Arabidopsis thaliana: one gene and its partners. The protein of the gene in region 2 binds, or shares a complex with, the protein of the main gene of each other region. Each region holds a gene or a part of one and is shown on either strand. Other genes may lie near its edges.

The links.
Region 1: emb2184 (region 2) and EMB3136 share a complex: the UniProt entries of both Arabidopsis thaliana proteins name them as parts of the 50S ribosomal subunit.
Region 3: emb2184 (region 2) and AT1G29070 share a complex: the UniProt entries of both Arabidopsis thaliana proteins name them as parts of the 50S ribosomal subunit.
Region 4: emb2184 (region 2) and AT5G47190 share a complex: the UniProt entries of both Arabidopsis thaliana proteins name them as parts of the 50S ribosomal subunit.

What each region holds. Positions count from the first base shown.
Region 1 is NC_003076.8:4,339,406-4,342,616, reverse strand, and holds EMB3136 (Ribosomal protein L10 family protein), read right to left. Parts: upstream 1,356-3,211; 5' UTR 1,324-1,355; coding exon 661-1,323; 3' UTR 522-660; downstream 1-521. Other genes in the region: AT5G13520 (peptidase M1 family protein), read left to right, coding at 207-500; AT5G13500 (Hyp O-arabinosyltransferase-like protein), read right to left, coding at 1,790-1,852, 2,195-2,308, 2,458-2,529, 2,659-2,728, 2,834-2,931, 3,098-3,211. UniProt on the Arabidopsis thaliana protein: This protein binds directly to 23S ribosomal RNA.
Region 2 is NC_003070.9:28,270,228-28,273,547, reverse strand, and holds emb2184 (Ribosomal protein L31), read right to left. Parts: upstream 1,478-3,320; 5' UTR 1,386-1,477; coding exon 1,317-1,385; intron 1,227-1,316; coding exon 861-1,226; 3' UTR 539-860; downstream 1-538. Other genes in the region: AT1G75340 (Zinc finger C-x8-C-x5-C-x3-H type family protein), read left to right, coding at 1,675-1,712, 2,074-2,251, 2,412-2,506, 2,611-2,706, 2,797-2,890, 3,002-3,219, 3,315-3,320. UniProt on the Arabidopsis thaliana protein: Binds the 23S rRNA.
Region 3 is NC_003070.9:10,147,881-10,151,961, reverse strand, and holds AT1G29070 (Ribosomal protein L34), read right to left. Parts: upstream 2,172-4,081; 5' UTR 2,079-2,171; coding exon 1,865-2,078; intron 1,067-1,864; coding exon 807-1,066; 3' UTR 555-806; downstream 1-554. Other genes in the region: AT1G29060 (Target SNARE coiled-coil domain protein), read right to left, coding at 2,503-2,664, 3,303-3,359, 3,797-3,920, 4,044-4,081. UniProt on the Arabidopsis thaliana protein: This protein binds directly to 23S ribosomal RNA.
Region 4 is NC_003076.8:19,163,683-19,168,133, forward strand, and holds AT5G47190 (Ribosomal protein L19 family protein), read right to left. Parts: upstream 2,454-4,451; 5' UTR 2,383-2,453; coding exon 2,353-2,382; intron 2,264-2,352; coding exon 1,934-2,263; intron 1,763-1,933; coding exon 1,676-1,762; intron 1,588-1,675; coding exon 1,454-1,587; intron 859-1,453; coding exon 750-858; 3' UTR 502-749; downstream 1-501. Other genes in the region: RAB1A (RAB GTPase homolog 1A), read left to right, coding at 3,347-3,360, 3,784-3,856, 4,079-4,126, 4,211-4,258, 4,355-4,426. UniProt on the Arabidopsis thaliana protein: Located at the 30S-50S ribosomal subunit interface and binds directly to 23S ribosomal RNA.

The DNA of each region.
Region 1 (3,211 bases), on a different chromosome or scaffold from region 2:
TCTTGGATTAATGTGGGGCTAGTGAATAATGATTGTGGAAAAACCCTCTTGGCTTTGGGAGAGTTCATGATTGTGGAAAGTGTATTGGCTTTGCAAGAGTTAGGATCTTATCTTGTTTGTTAATGACAATGCTAGTCAACAAAGGAAGGATTGGTGATCAGGTTCAAACCTATGGCTAACACCCACTTTGCTCATTGATGAATCAGGTCATGGCCTTGGACAAGCGGTACAGACTGGCAGAATCGAAAGACTATGAAGTGAAGGTCTCGTTTCTGCAACTTGCAGTCACATCCAAGTGCAGAGAGTACCATGGGGAAGTGAAGAAAACACTAAAAGAGGTAGGAAGGATGAAGTACCTGCGTCCACTCTTCACTGCTCTTGCACAATCTGGTGGAACAGAAGAGAAGCAGCTGGCAAAACAGGTGTTTGCAGAAGCTCGAGAAACTTATCACCCCATAGCTCAGGGAGTTGTTGAATCTATCCTCTCTAAGTACATCTAAACAAGACCGTTATGATAGCTTGAGAGCACTCCGAAAAACAACATTTCAATAAAACTCAGTCACTGTAATAACAATTGGTGCTTGAGAGAGTCATAAACAAAAAATTGAATTGCCTTTTGTTGCGTACATTACATTCTCCAAAAGATTAGTACAAGCTTAACTATGCATTACTCTCATCTTCCAACTTCTTAATGTAAGCCATAAGCACCATTATAACCTCTCTTGCTGGTGCTTGTAAAGTAGTGACGAGATTAATAGCCGGAGATTGCAGAGCACCGAGCATCTTAGCGTAGACCTCAGCACGAGTGGGCATGGTCTCGAGGACTTTGAAATTGTCAGGAGCGTAGAACTTACCTTCGAAGACAGCGCCGGCAAAGTCATTGTTTTCAAGCTTGCGTTCCTTCTGGAAGCTCCGGTAGGGTTTGATAGCAGAAGGGATTTCATCGGTCTGGACGAAAAGCCAAGCGTTCATGCCTTTCATACAAGGCTTGAGAGCTTCCCATTTGGTGCCTTCAATGGCTTTGAAGACCAAAGTGTTCTTGGCGACGATGAGCTTTGTAGTGTCGGGGAGAGTTCTCCGGAGGTCTTGAAACTGCTTGACGGTGAGGCCTTTGTAGTTGATGGCGGCGAGGAGATGGCAGTTCTCCAAGTGAGACTTGACGGCTTCGACAGTCTCTTCCTTCTTGTTACGAGACACCGCGGATCTGATGACCGGGAGGCGAGGGTAATTTGGGGAATTCGAGGTTTTGGGTGTGAGAGTTGAGATTCGCTGGTGACAGAGAGGAGACAAGGAAGAAGAGAAGGAGAGAAGAGCCACTTCCATTTTTTTGCTCAGAAGATGAGGAGACTGTTTCTAGCTGTGTGGAGGAAGAAGATAGATGAACAACAACACAATCCTCCACTAAGCAATTTTATTTTTTTATTTTTCTTAAATGGAAAATAAAATTTATGGATAAAAAAAGGGTTAATAGACGGAATTAGTAACTCCGTCTAATTTAACGCATTGTGTCTTTTAGTCTCTGCTTCTGAATTCTGAACGCAATCCATTGGTAAACTAATCAAATAACTAGACCCAAAATAATTCTATTTTCTTTCTCGGAATTATGGAAGATGTCTCGTCTCGTGTCAAACAAATAATTTTGTAATTTACTACTCAAGTTCATAATTTAACCATTACAAGAAAAAACAGACAAGAAGGGAAGTAAAGGGAGAAGGAAAAAAAAATTAGGCAAAATATTGTTGCTGTATGGATTTGTCCCTATGGTTTGTGTTTTGTGTGTGGATGTGAGTTAGAGAGTGTCCCAATTAGGGATAGTCGCAGTAGCTTCATTCACCATCTTCACAAGTGTCACCTGCACCATCACACAATATGTTATTAAGGACAGTCATTCAATATTACGGTTCTCACTCTCACACTTGATTGACCACAAGCAAAACCGTAACTCCTGAAGATATTACAACTACTTCTAACAGACTTATGCATATCATCTCCCCGGAAAGTAAAACCATTGCAAATTCACAAACTACATCAAACTATGGACGACCATTTGTGTATGACGTTGCTATTTAGTCTCCGGAATCCACTAAACCAATGGACATGATACAAATAAGTTCCCCTTTGAGCTATGAATGGACCTTACTGCAGTATCTTGTTTTAAGCACGATCAGATTATAGAGGTTTATATATAACATACCACACTTTCGGGAACACCGGGAGGCGGCAAGGACATGTTCCTTGGAGGAGGACCCCGCAAATGTGATCTCTTATCGAATCGCCACTCTCCTATTTTGCCATATGTCAGCTCCCCCTGTATTTAACAGTCAGCAAAACTTAGTAGTGACTAAAAAGAGAACCTAATGACCTTAAGTAAAAACAAATGACCACAAGATGTGAAATCTGTTCCTAATTTATCAGCCAAAAATTAAAATTAAACAATCGTGTCAAACAGAAAATCACCTTCATGTTGTAGTCGCATCCATAAGTGTAATGAATGATAAACTTCCCCTTGGTAGACAAATCCCACGGAGGCTGAAAGATATTGTGAGAGAACTTAGGAATATGGAGCAGAGAAACAACTTTTGTAACTTTGACAAAACAAAAGTATCTTCGACATAGAATATGTTATCACTAAGGTATCAGCACAAGGTCGATTCTTACCTGAAGCATGAAATCCTTCCGAAGTATGTGACGCACCCCATGTATAGCAGATGCAATTGCGTAACCGTACCTTATCAAACAGAAAAGAGAAGAATAAAGTAGTCAGTTAACAATGATGGGATTCAAAAGGTGGAGAGCCAATTCATGATTTAAGATTCTTGTTTCTTGTGCTAACATTTCCAGCACCCATCCAAATGCCTTATCAGTTTCTGGATCGTTTTTCATTGTCAGCGAGACATTCATCCATGTAGGAGCAATCTTTTCAAGTGATTCCTGCATCAGAAAGTAAATGCATGTCAACATCAATTTTAATGCATGAACAGAACAAACAGAACATATTCCTGGACACCAACATCACATCTAGCTAAACGCCTCTGAAAATCTTTGGGGCCCAAGTCAAATAACACATATACAAACAGTATAGCACAGATAATCTCACCTTGCTTATGATAACAGGAGAGTTGCCAATGGGGTCGATATTTGTTACTGGCCCCATCTCCGCTGGATAATACTTTCTGACTATGTTTTCATACTTTTCAGGAGTAATATAGAA
Region 2 (3,320 bases):
TGAAAACTTTGGTAGCTTAGTTAAGAAGCAGAAGACTCCAGCTGAGAGGAAATGGGCCTAAAATAGCCCACACATTCGACTGTCTTCAAATGGGCTTGAGACGGCCTGATATTGGTTTGGCTTGATATTGGTAAAACCTCTGATTGAGCTGGAGTATTCTGTTTCTGTTCAATATTGGTCACACAAATTCAGTAGTAGTATACAATTGGGCATGATCACAGAATCTTCAACTTCAAGTGCCAAAAATTTTCTTTTATGTTCTCAAGCAAAACATACTCCTACGCCATGGCCACAGTTCAAGAATCTGCTCACTATTAGTACGCCACTTCGTCGTCAGAAGACAAATGTTTTGCCTGATAACTTCAGCAGACACTTACATAGACCATGATCATCATGTTCAACATCTTATAAATCTATGTAAAAATGATCTCAATCAACTAATCAACACACCACTTACACATCAACAACAACTACCTACACTAGTCATTAATCTCATGCCATAACTTTCCAAGATTATCACAAAATGTGGCAAAAGCCACAACCTTTCTTTCATTTGCAATTACCATTTCATAGGCATTGTTGCTATGTTTCTCTCACCAGTGTATATCTATCTATTATCCATCACAAATTCATGCCAAACTCACAAGCTAAAGATTTGTCCTTGAGATTCGCTACTACTTGTATCATTGCTCTGAGATCCTAGTCTCACTCTCAATGAAACCAAATAGATCTTAAAGAAAGCATAACCAATAGCATTCAGAAGAAAATTCACATACAATTTTTAACAGCCTAAGCAGTATCTCGACTTCAATTGAAAAGACAACAAATTCAAAGACATAAGCTTTACCAGAAAAGACTCATCATTTCTTCTTCCCTTTGGGACCTTTACTTTTCTTAGTAGGCATAATGATTTCTCCTTTAAGCACAGGAATCTCCATAATCTCAGAAAGCCCAGCGAACCTCTTACGAAACTTCTCAACTTGATCAGCATCAACCATCAAAGCCGAACGATTCCCGAGGTAAAACGGATGGTTACCTGACCATACATCAACCACATACTCTTTCTTTGTTCCTCCTGTAGTCATCACCAGCTCTCCATTGCAGTAAACCTTTGCGTCTTCGTGGAATTCAGGATGCAATTCCTTCTTACGACACGTTATCTGAACCACCGTATTGCTGCTTCTTCTCACCGATTGTTTTCCTCCTTTCACTGCCGCCATCACCGGCTAATTTTGAAAAAAAAACACAAACAAATTTAGTGATTTTGGGGAAGGAGGAGAAATAGACGAAGAATGAGAAATCGATTTCGAGCTTACCTTTCTTAATTGCAGAGAAGGAACACATGGGCTAATCTGAAGAAACGAGTTCGGGAGAGAAACCGCCATTTTTGTCTTCAGGAGCTATCTTCTTCTTTTTTCCTGGTGATAGAGAAGAAACGAAGTAACGATTGATGGATAAGAGAATGAGGATGATGAAGTGTATTGGAGTTACGTTTATAACCCTAAATACTTTGAAGATATGTAAGGGTAATATGGTAATTTACATAGAGACTTCCTTTTGTTCTGTTGATACACTCTTCGTCAATCTAACGCTTCTTCATTTTTCTCGAGAGAAGCAAAACTACATATATATATACGCACATACGTACACAGTTCGAAGGTTTTAGCTGCGAGTATGAGGAAGGAACTGTGTAGAAACTTTCAGCGTGGCAGGTAAATACTCTTTTCATCATCATCATCTTCTTCTTCATCTGTTCTAGTTTTTGTTTTGATTCAATTTGTTGTTTTATAAGAGTTTTTGAAGTTTGTTTCGATTGCTGAAGTTTAGGTTTCGTGTTCTATATTCTGGGGTTTAATTTGAAATCAATCGATGTGCGAAGGTGGTAATGTGTTAGAAAACGATGTCTATTGAGCTGAAATCTAAATGAATCATACAGTTTATTGACTTTGATAGATTCTAATCTTCGTTTCCGCCATTAATGAGGGTTGATTTGCTTCGGAAGTTATGATTAGTGATAGTAGAAGCTTAGAGACGTAATTATTGGACTCATCGTCCTTTGTGCTGTTTTTGCAGTTGTAGGTATGGGGAAAACTGTAGATTTCTTCATCCACAACAAGCTAAGCCAAATAATCCCTTTGGCTTTGGTACACAAAACCAACAACAACAACAGCAGCAGCAGCAACAAAATAGTTCGAACCCTTTTGGATTTGGTGTACAAAGTGGTGGTTCCAGCAGACCGAATCAGTTCCAGGTCAATTTGTTTTTTTCCTCTTTTAAGATGCAAGTATTGCTTTGATAGAATGCAAGTTATCGTTCGGCTTTGGATGAGAAAAATGGTGCATCTTCTTTAAGAAACGAAAGCATTTTGCCTGTTGAATGAATGGTGACATGATGATGCTTTTGCAAATCAGAATACTTGGTCACGAACGGCTTCTACACCTACTGGTGGTGGTGCTGCTGCTTCTACACAGCAGACTGGTAAACAGACGCAGCCGGCAGATCATAAGTGAGTGTATATATGTTTACATATGCTTGTTCTATCAATTATCATCCTTTTAGCCGTTTGTTTCTTTGGAAATTTACTGTTTCTCTCTTGGTTACTATACAAAGATGCACAGATCCTGCTGCGTGTAAGCGGGTAATGCAAGACGATTTTAAGAATGAGAGACCCATGTGGAAGCTCACATGCTACGGCCACTGGAAATAGTATGTATTACTTCATTTGGTTTAGCATCCTTGATCTTTATCCATTCTTTATAAACGTGTCTGATTTTTTCTATCTTTTTTTTCTTCTAGTTTTCCATGTGATGTTACCGGTGATATCAGCTATGAAGAACTACGTGCAGTGGCATATGAAGAAGCTAAACGAGGAATACCTCTACAGTCGATTGTGAGATTAACCTTTCTTGTGTTTGTTATACTTTACACTGGTTTTCATTTCATACTGATAAGACATAAGTTGATTTCCTCTTTTCCTGGCTTATTATGGTGCATTATATAGGTTGAAAGGGAGAGGAATCTGCAAAATTCCAAAATAGCCGAGTTTGAAAACTTTCTACGGAATCCATACAAAGGCTCTGTTACCGCCAATCAAAGCCCGTTTGCTGCAACCACTCCTAGTATCTTCCCTCAGTCCAGTCAGATCAATTCCCCTTCTCCAGCATTCTCTGGCTTTAATCAACAAACTGCATTCTCCAATACCAATGCGGGTGGACTCAGGTATCAACTTTTGTGGGATTTCTCCAATTTTCATATCCCAAAAAGTTTGTGTTGCCTTCAAACTAACTCTCGGTTTCCATTTTTCCTCGACATAGTTCATC
Region 3 (4,081 bases), about 18 Mb from region 2:
AGAGGCCTTTTATAGACCCACTTTAAAAAACAAAGATATATGAATTTGAGATAAGAAACCTTATTTCAAACAAGAGAATAGTTTATTTTGTCCCACATCGTTTAGGTAGAGATAGTGATGGTAGTAACATGCCTATAAAAAAGAAAGAGCTAATTACGTAAAAGGCATGATCCTTCAGGCAAGTTAAAGGGGATATGATGAATGGTAAAAACTCGCTTATATTGCGAGAAGAGCGTTCCGCCCAAAGCCTGTTACGACTATTGGGCGCTCTCTTTTTTACACAATCTGATCCCTCCCTAATTTCCAATAAGAAGGAACTTTTCTTTTTTAGTTTTGGTTTCATTTTTCTTAACTAGTTTGTTTTTGGTGCAGTTTTCTTTTTAAGGGGAATATAATTTAGGGTTAGTACTTAAAAGTAATTGTTAGGTTGAAATAAAACTAGTAAATGAAAGTAAAATCCTTCAGGGATTGAACCCCAAACTATATACATCAACTTTCAGCAACCATTAACACTACTTGGAATCTGAACAATTCTTACACACCAGAATTATCCTGGTGGCCAGAAGAGATCTTTAAGTAATTATGGCTTTGAAGTTGAGACTTCGAGTAGTAACAAATTCAATGAAGCAAGTAGTATAGTAGTACATGTGATGAATTCCAAGAACATTGATTTATAAACGAATCAAGGATGCAAGAGAGTTAAAACGCAGAAAAGAGCTCAACGAACCATGTTTCTCATTGTATCTTCTGGTGGAAAAAAAGCACATGAAACAAGATTACAGATAGAGTGAAGAGAGAAACAAACTTCAAGCCCGTTTGCCGCTGCTAGGGTTGGACTTGGGACAGAGGTTCCAACGTCCCTTGGCACGTCGACGCTTTATGGTTGCTCTACCGCTAGTGGTCCTCATCCTTCTACGGAAACCATGAGTCCTAGCTAGAGATTTTCTTGATCTGCTTCTCTTAGTTTGACACAGAGCAGCTTTTCCAGCTCTAACCACAAGGCCTCTGCGTCTCTGGCCATTCAGTCCACTAGTTTGACTGCTGAGATCAAACGCAATGGACAAACCTGAAAAGACAGCAACACCATTTTGATCAATGTGACATTATAGGTTTGATAGTGTATCAAGCTGATAATATTGGAACCGGTAAACTCCTTCCTTTAATTACCCAAAGAACTCACCATACAATACCAAACTCTCAACACACTGCTCAGAATCAAGACCCAGACAAATCCAAAATGACTTTAATGCATTCTCCTAGGTTACCCTTTTAACTCTTGAGCTATAACCATAACGTCTGTTGCTAAATTGGCAAAGCTTATAATTCACTGCTCAAATCTTAGCCTAGCTACAATGGTCGTACAATATACTTTACAAGAAAATTATGATCAAAGGAGGAGGAACAAGTTCATGTGACATATTGAAGCAAATCTATAACCATTGTACCTAAATAATCGACATGAGCTAAAAGATTTTTGTACTAAAAATCAAACAACATTTACTTGCGGCTACAAATACATGAGCTAAGATATCAGAAATTGAGGCTTAAGTTGCAAAATGTTATCTTCACTTGTTGTTATAAACTTAACAAGAAATATCAGAAACAAACAAAATGGCTTCTTTCACTCACACTCCCAAATCGAATTCACCATTGACAACTATGTTTCACAATTCCCAAATTCTTCTAAAAAAGCTTCGAATATATGTGTTTGCAAAGTAAGCTAGAGCCTAACACACGAGAATAGTGATAAATCAACCAAACCCAAAGAACCAGAAAAAAAAATCAAAATTGGGTAAAAGAACTTGATACATTACATCACCAGAAGCTAAACACAAACAATAATTCGAACCAATTTAAGATGTACCAGAAAATGGAGACGCTAGGGAAACAGGCGACGAGAGAAACGAGCAATGAAGCAATTGCGAAGAAGCGGAAGAAGTGAGAGAGGACGAACTCCGTCTACAACCCGTACGCAGAGAAAGCGAAGCAGAAGGAACGCAAATCTTGCCGTTGGAGGCAGCAGGATTCCATAAACGCGACGAAGCCGAAGCTACAACGGAAGTGGATAAGGAAGCCATTCAAGTTCCCACTTCTTATCTCCAAACCCAGTTCCTTTGTTTCTCCGGTCTCCTTTACATAGTGTGGAACCTCTATCGTCTACGGACGATACCACCATAAACTTACGCATAAGAACCAACCATAATAATACACGTATCACGACACTTCAGCCCATAAGACTATAAAAGCCCAATACTGAATTGGACCGGACGGGTAATTAATCAAGTTAAGGCCAGATTTGAACTGGTCTAAAATATCTCATGCTGTTGTTCTGTGATACAATTTTGCTTCATGTAAACTGTTAAAAACAGGCACTCTATATAACAGGTAACGAGAAGAACCACAAAATGTTTGTAATCTAGAGGATATTTTCTACAACTTATCCAACATTCATCAAGGGTTTTTTTTTGGGGGGTAACACAAGTATGCCATGAGTCTCTCTATCTATCTTTTGAACATCTTGGACCACATGTAGAGGATAAAGAAGAGGAGGAGCGCGAAAAGAACTACGTGCATTATGTGGTTGTTACCACTACGGATTATGCTTAGGTTCAGTTTCCTTATGTTGTTCTTCACCCCTGCTTGCGCTCTGATCAATGTCATTTGCTGTCACAAACAAAAACAAAATACCATTGAAGCGTTTTATGTTTCAGACAAGAACAACATTTCGTCTACTTATTTTATTTTGCTTATAACAGCACTAAATGCTTGTTTCTGCAGTCTCACTACCAAATCTAGTTGTTTGTCATTATCTTCTCTAGGATGTTCTTCTAGGTAACAAAAGAAAAAACTAGAACGAACTAAAAGCAATGAACACATTCAACACCAACATTCTCATTGACAAAGTGGCAGGAACTCAATGATAAGCTGTAACCATTTCCTGCTGCATTTCACCAAACTAGGTGAGATTGAAGATATCTAATCCTACCCACCACCAGCGTTCAGACCAGATCCTAAGTAAACATAATCTACACTTTGGATTTATCAAGATTCATTGGTTTTGTAAGCTACGGTTAAAGTTATCTAACATATGTTAGGATGAAACTATATTTTCCCAACTAATAATGAACAGAGACATCTGAAACAAGTTATAGGAAACCGATATTCGGATATACTATATATAATCAGTGATTCATCTTAAAGGTAAAGAAGAGTAAATGAATGCATGTTACTGATGTTAAGTGCTTACATTGCAATTTACTATGATGGATAAAGAAAAAACTAAAGGGACATCAACAACATACCAGTTCATCTAAGAAGTCCCTCTGAGACTTTGCTTCTGACCCAATTTCTTGAGCAATCTGCATCAAAATAAGCGATCAACGATATAACAAAAAATCATGAGGGATAAATAATGCGCAAAAGTGCAAGGTAAAACACAAGGAATTGTAGAGAATGTCGACTGATTCCTTCAAGAAGGGTGGTGATATAAAACAATAACCACAGATGTATACAAAAGACATCAGACAAGTGGATTCAACTAATTAATCGTGGACTGACTGATAAGTATTGTGAACAATAACATTATCATAGTACCCTGAACAAAAAAACACCTACACAACTAATTAACCAAGCTCTAACCACTGTCAAAACCGAAAAGAAGACAAATTTCCAAATTCATATGATCAACTTAAAGCTTAAAGAGAACAATGATCCTTCAGAACCACAAGAAGACAATACAAATGGCACTATAGATAAAAAGTAGAAAGATCGAAATGGGATTTAGAGGGTTTCTTACATTTTTCAATTGCCTGACTTGGCCATGGAGACCTAGAATCTCATCATCCAGGTCAGAGTGCATAGGATCAATCCTCAGCTGAATTTCCTCTGAACCTGAAGCATTTCTAGTGCTTAGCCCTTCTCTACAAATCACACACCAAAGATAAATACTTGTACTTTACGCAGAATTCACCAAATCTAGGACCCGTTTTCTCTATCCAGAATCGATTTCAGAAAAGGAGAAACTGATAATATTAGAAATATACCTAGATCTATACGGATCAGCTCCGCCGTATAGAGAACC
Region 4 (4,451 bases), on a different chromosome or scaffold from region 2:
AAGCAAAGTTTCCGTACGATTTTCCTCCGGCGTCGTCTCCGGGAACTGCGGGGAAGAAGAAAGAGCGAAAGAGAGAGAAGAGAGGGAAAAATGTGACACGTGTGAAAACAGTTGTGCATTGTAAGAGACGAAAAAACAAAGGTTAAAAGCGACAGGCTGGAAAAAAGAGGATGATGACGTGGCAGATATTGATTGGTGTTTGATTTTATATAGTGGCTAAAAAGGCTATAATGAGCTTTCAGGGTGGTAGGCCATTTTTCGTCTCTCACGATTGATGATATTTTAAATTTATTTCTCCGTGTCCATTAATGATTGATTGTTAGCAAGTAATTAATTATCGGACATAAAAGTCATCATACAGAGGAAAGAGACAAGAAAAATACTCAATCATTCGTTTCTTTTTTCCTGCTTTAGCTGGAAAATTCATTTACATGAATGAATTACATGATTTTACATGTAAAAAATCTATTTTGAAAAGCAATTTCAATGATTCAAAAGTTTTATTTTAATGATTAAATCAGTCATATTTCTGAAAAAGAATACTAAAGGGTCCAGATTCTACATACTCAAGATCAAAACAATCAACATTGATTTACTTTTCTTAAATTACTGTTACTGTAAATTACATGAAAAGAAATGAAATCCAAAAGACGAAACAAACAAACAATTATTACAAGAGAAAAGAGAGTAGCTAGCTACCTTTGGAGATTGAAGACAACACAAGACAAGACTGGTGTTGGGTTTGGTGATCATTTAAAAGTTGAGAGACGAGGAAGTTTGTCCCTCAGATAGTAAAGTCTTGCTCTTCTCACTTTCCTGTGACTTACCACTTTTATCTCCTTTATGTTGGGAGAGTATCTGTTAAATTCAAAACACACATCACATCAGATACATATTCTAAACCAAGATCAAAACATATTACTTGATTGTGTAGATTAGTATCTGTTCAAGATCAAAACATATCAGTTACATATTACTTCATTGTAGAATCAGCCAATAGTACTGGAAAGTTCATAGGGACTAGTATGTTATGATAACGGCTAGACTCTAGAGTGATTAAGATTAAAGGTTGGTGCGCGTTTCTGTAGTAAATAAGCACAAAGCTTGGTGACCTATAATGCTAAGACTTCCAGCATTTATGTACTAGTTCCTATAGTATCATACTTGGAGTAGCAATTATTTCCTTTTTTCGTGAAGAAAGCTAATACATATGATCAGATATAGAATTGTAAATCTCTTAAGTTCTCAAGAAGCGAAGACTATGACTGTTCACGATAAAAGAAGCTAATTCCGGTTTGTTTTAGAGTTCCTAAAATCTCTCTCAAAGCCAAAAGACTCCTTAACAAGGTCAAAGACCCTTAACTCTGACTATCTAATACTATTTACATTTATACTTATCAATATACCCGAGTAAGTGTGTGATAATAGGATAGTTAAGGAAGAATAAACTTACATGGGAAAGACGATTTCAACACCAATGCCTGCAATAATCCTCCGGATACGGATAGTAGTGTGGATGCCTGCATTTTGTCTAGACATCACAATACCTTTGTAGATAGATAGCCTACGTTTGTTCTCAGGAACTTCCTGTAAAATCAAACCCACCATGTCGTATCAAAATCTTGCAGTTAAATGCATAAATTGCATAAGATTATACGGGGACAATGAGTTTTACCAGTTTGATTTCTACAATATCCCCAGTCCTAAGTCCAGGAACCGGTCTTACAGTCTCTGCAACCTCAATAGCTTTCTTGTTCAGTAGCTACAGAAACAAAAAGCAAATCAACATTTCATTTCTCCAATGCCTAAAAGATAACTGATGATTTAAGAACAGGAGCCAAAACAACTACAGTATCAGACATGTATAATCAGATTCAGAGCCAAAACAAAACACTAGACAATCTCATAGAATCACATTGGATAATGAACTAACCCCCATGATATCTCCGAGCTTGACTCTCGTCTTCCACGGAGGTTTAGCTTCCTCCGCCGCAACAGTGGCTTCTCCTTCTCCTTCCGCTTCAGTTTCAACAGCATTCTCCACAACAGCCTCAGTTTCACCTTCAGTACTCTCTTCAGCTTTAGCGATAAACTCTTTTCTCTTCTTGGAATCGATGGCGAAACCAAAATTGGAGCTCGAATGATTGAGAAAAACCCTAGAAACTGATAGTCTTGAGTTCACTGATGATGCTCGTGGTAGAATTGAAGAAACCCCTAAATTCTTCGACGAGAAAGAAGGGGTTCTCGGTATCATATGCAATGCCTGGTTCCATAAATGGTAGATAAATACAGAATTCAAAGAAGCATAAGTATGAAAATGTGATTGAGCGTGAGAGAGTGAAGAAGAAGAACCTGAGGAAGAAGATGAGAGCTCGTCGCCATGTTTGCACAACCCAAACTCGAAACCAGAGTAAAGAAGAGCCTTATCGCTTATCCGCTCCGTGTATTTCAATTTATGGGCCATTTACTAATTTTATGGGCCTAGACATTTAGGCCCATATTCAATTGATATAACAAGAAACCCATTACCAAAGCTGGTTCTACCAGTCTACCACCACGAACCAAGGCTTGTCCAAGTACACTAATGTAGAACCAAAAATGGTTTAAATAAAGAGTTTCTGTTACAAACAAATGTATGTTTATGTGTCCTTAAATTGATAGCTCTAAATAATCTACTTTGGGCCTTTTAAAAGTTATGATTGACGAATAAATTTCTGCTGGAGTTGAAATATTATTCTATGTGACTATGTTGTATATTCAAGTCGTCTACATGTTCACGTTACATTGACTTACACCGCAAGCGATGAAAAGCTATTATATGTTAGTTTAATCAGAATACCAAAAAGATAATAATCAAAATATTCCATCTTCTTTCTTTGTGAAACGAATATATATTCTCTTACAGGTGGTTTAATTAAAAGCTTGACAACAGTACGTAATATTAGCATACATATAAAAAGTTACATTAATTGGATACGAAATTTTAATCTCCTAAAGATAGTTATTCTCCGATTGTATAGAATCAAAAAAGAAAAGAACAAAAATCGACAAAGAAGAAGAAAAAAGATTGATTGATTCTTTTGTCCTCCACGCATCTCTCTGAGTTGGCTCGGCCACGTCAGCATTCAAACATCAAAACCAAAACGCATTTAAATGTCGAAAAGAGTGGGTCCCTTTTTTTCTTTTTTCTTAACCGTGTCATTGACAAAAAGAGCACTTAATAAGCCAAAGCCACATAGAAGAAAAAAAAAAGAACATTCACGTCTCTCTCGTTTTTTTGGCCGACGACGATCGCTGAATTGACTGCCGGAGATTCCTTTAATCGTCAGATTCTCGTTGAGGGATAATGAATCCTGAATAGTAAGAAACTTGTCTTCTCGTTGTTTCATGTATCTATTGTTTCGGATCGATCCGCGTTTTTTATTTTTTGATGTGTTTGGTGATTTGGTTTTTGTTCGATTTTGCTTTGGATCTTTGTTGGTTGTTAGGTTTGTGAATTGAATCTACCTAATTTTGCTCGTTTAAGGTATTTTGTATTAGAATTTTGTATAGATTTGGATTTTCGTTCCATGGATCTTATACAGGTCAGATCCGAGGAAATTTGATCGAGATCTGCAATTTCTGTTTACTGTTGTAGTTGAAATTCGCGAGTGTGACACAATTTTCCCTTTGATCTCATTAGCATATTGTATATAGATGTTCTTGCGTTTTTATTTCCTGACCCGAATTTTCATGAGTTTATGAGCTTCACTGAGATTGGTGTTTACCGTTCTGTTGTTGCAGTGACTATCTGTTCAAGCTTCTGCTTATTGGTGATTCTGGTGTTGGAAAATCATGCTTGCTTCTAAGATTTGCTGTAAGTATTCCCACAATTCTGGATTCATCATCTCTGGTAGTTACTTTTTAACATTGTGTACACACAAAAATTTGAGGATCACATCTTGGAGTTCAATACCTGTTGCTCAAGACTCAAAACTCAAAAGTCATTACTCCATTGGATTAGCTTAGTTCTCACTATGGTATCATTGTTACTCCTTTGTGTTCTTATTTCCTGATATCTTGAATTTTATGTGGACAGGATGATTCTTACCTGGATAGCTACATAAGCACCATTGGTGTTGACTTTGTAAGCACCTTCATTTGCTCATCACTCATTTATATACAGGAATCAGAATAATAAGTGTTAACCTTTACTAATGATATCATGCAGAAAATTCGCACAGTTGAGCAGGACGGAAAGACCATCAAACTCCAGATCGTAAGTGTTCTTCAGCTAGATATGCAATCATAATCTGTTAAAATTTTGGAAAGAGCAGATAGTTACTCTTGTTTTGGTAATCGCCTGTGTATACAGTGGGACACAGCAGGCCAAGAACGTTTCAGGACAATCACTAGCAGCTACTACAGAGGAGCTCATGGGATCATTGTATGTACTCTTACTCTAACCAACC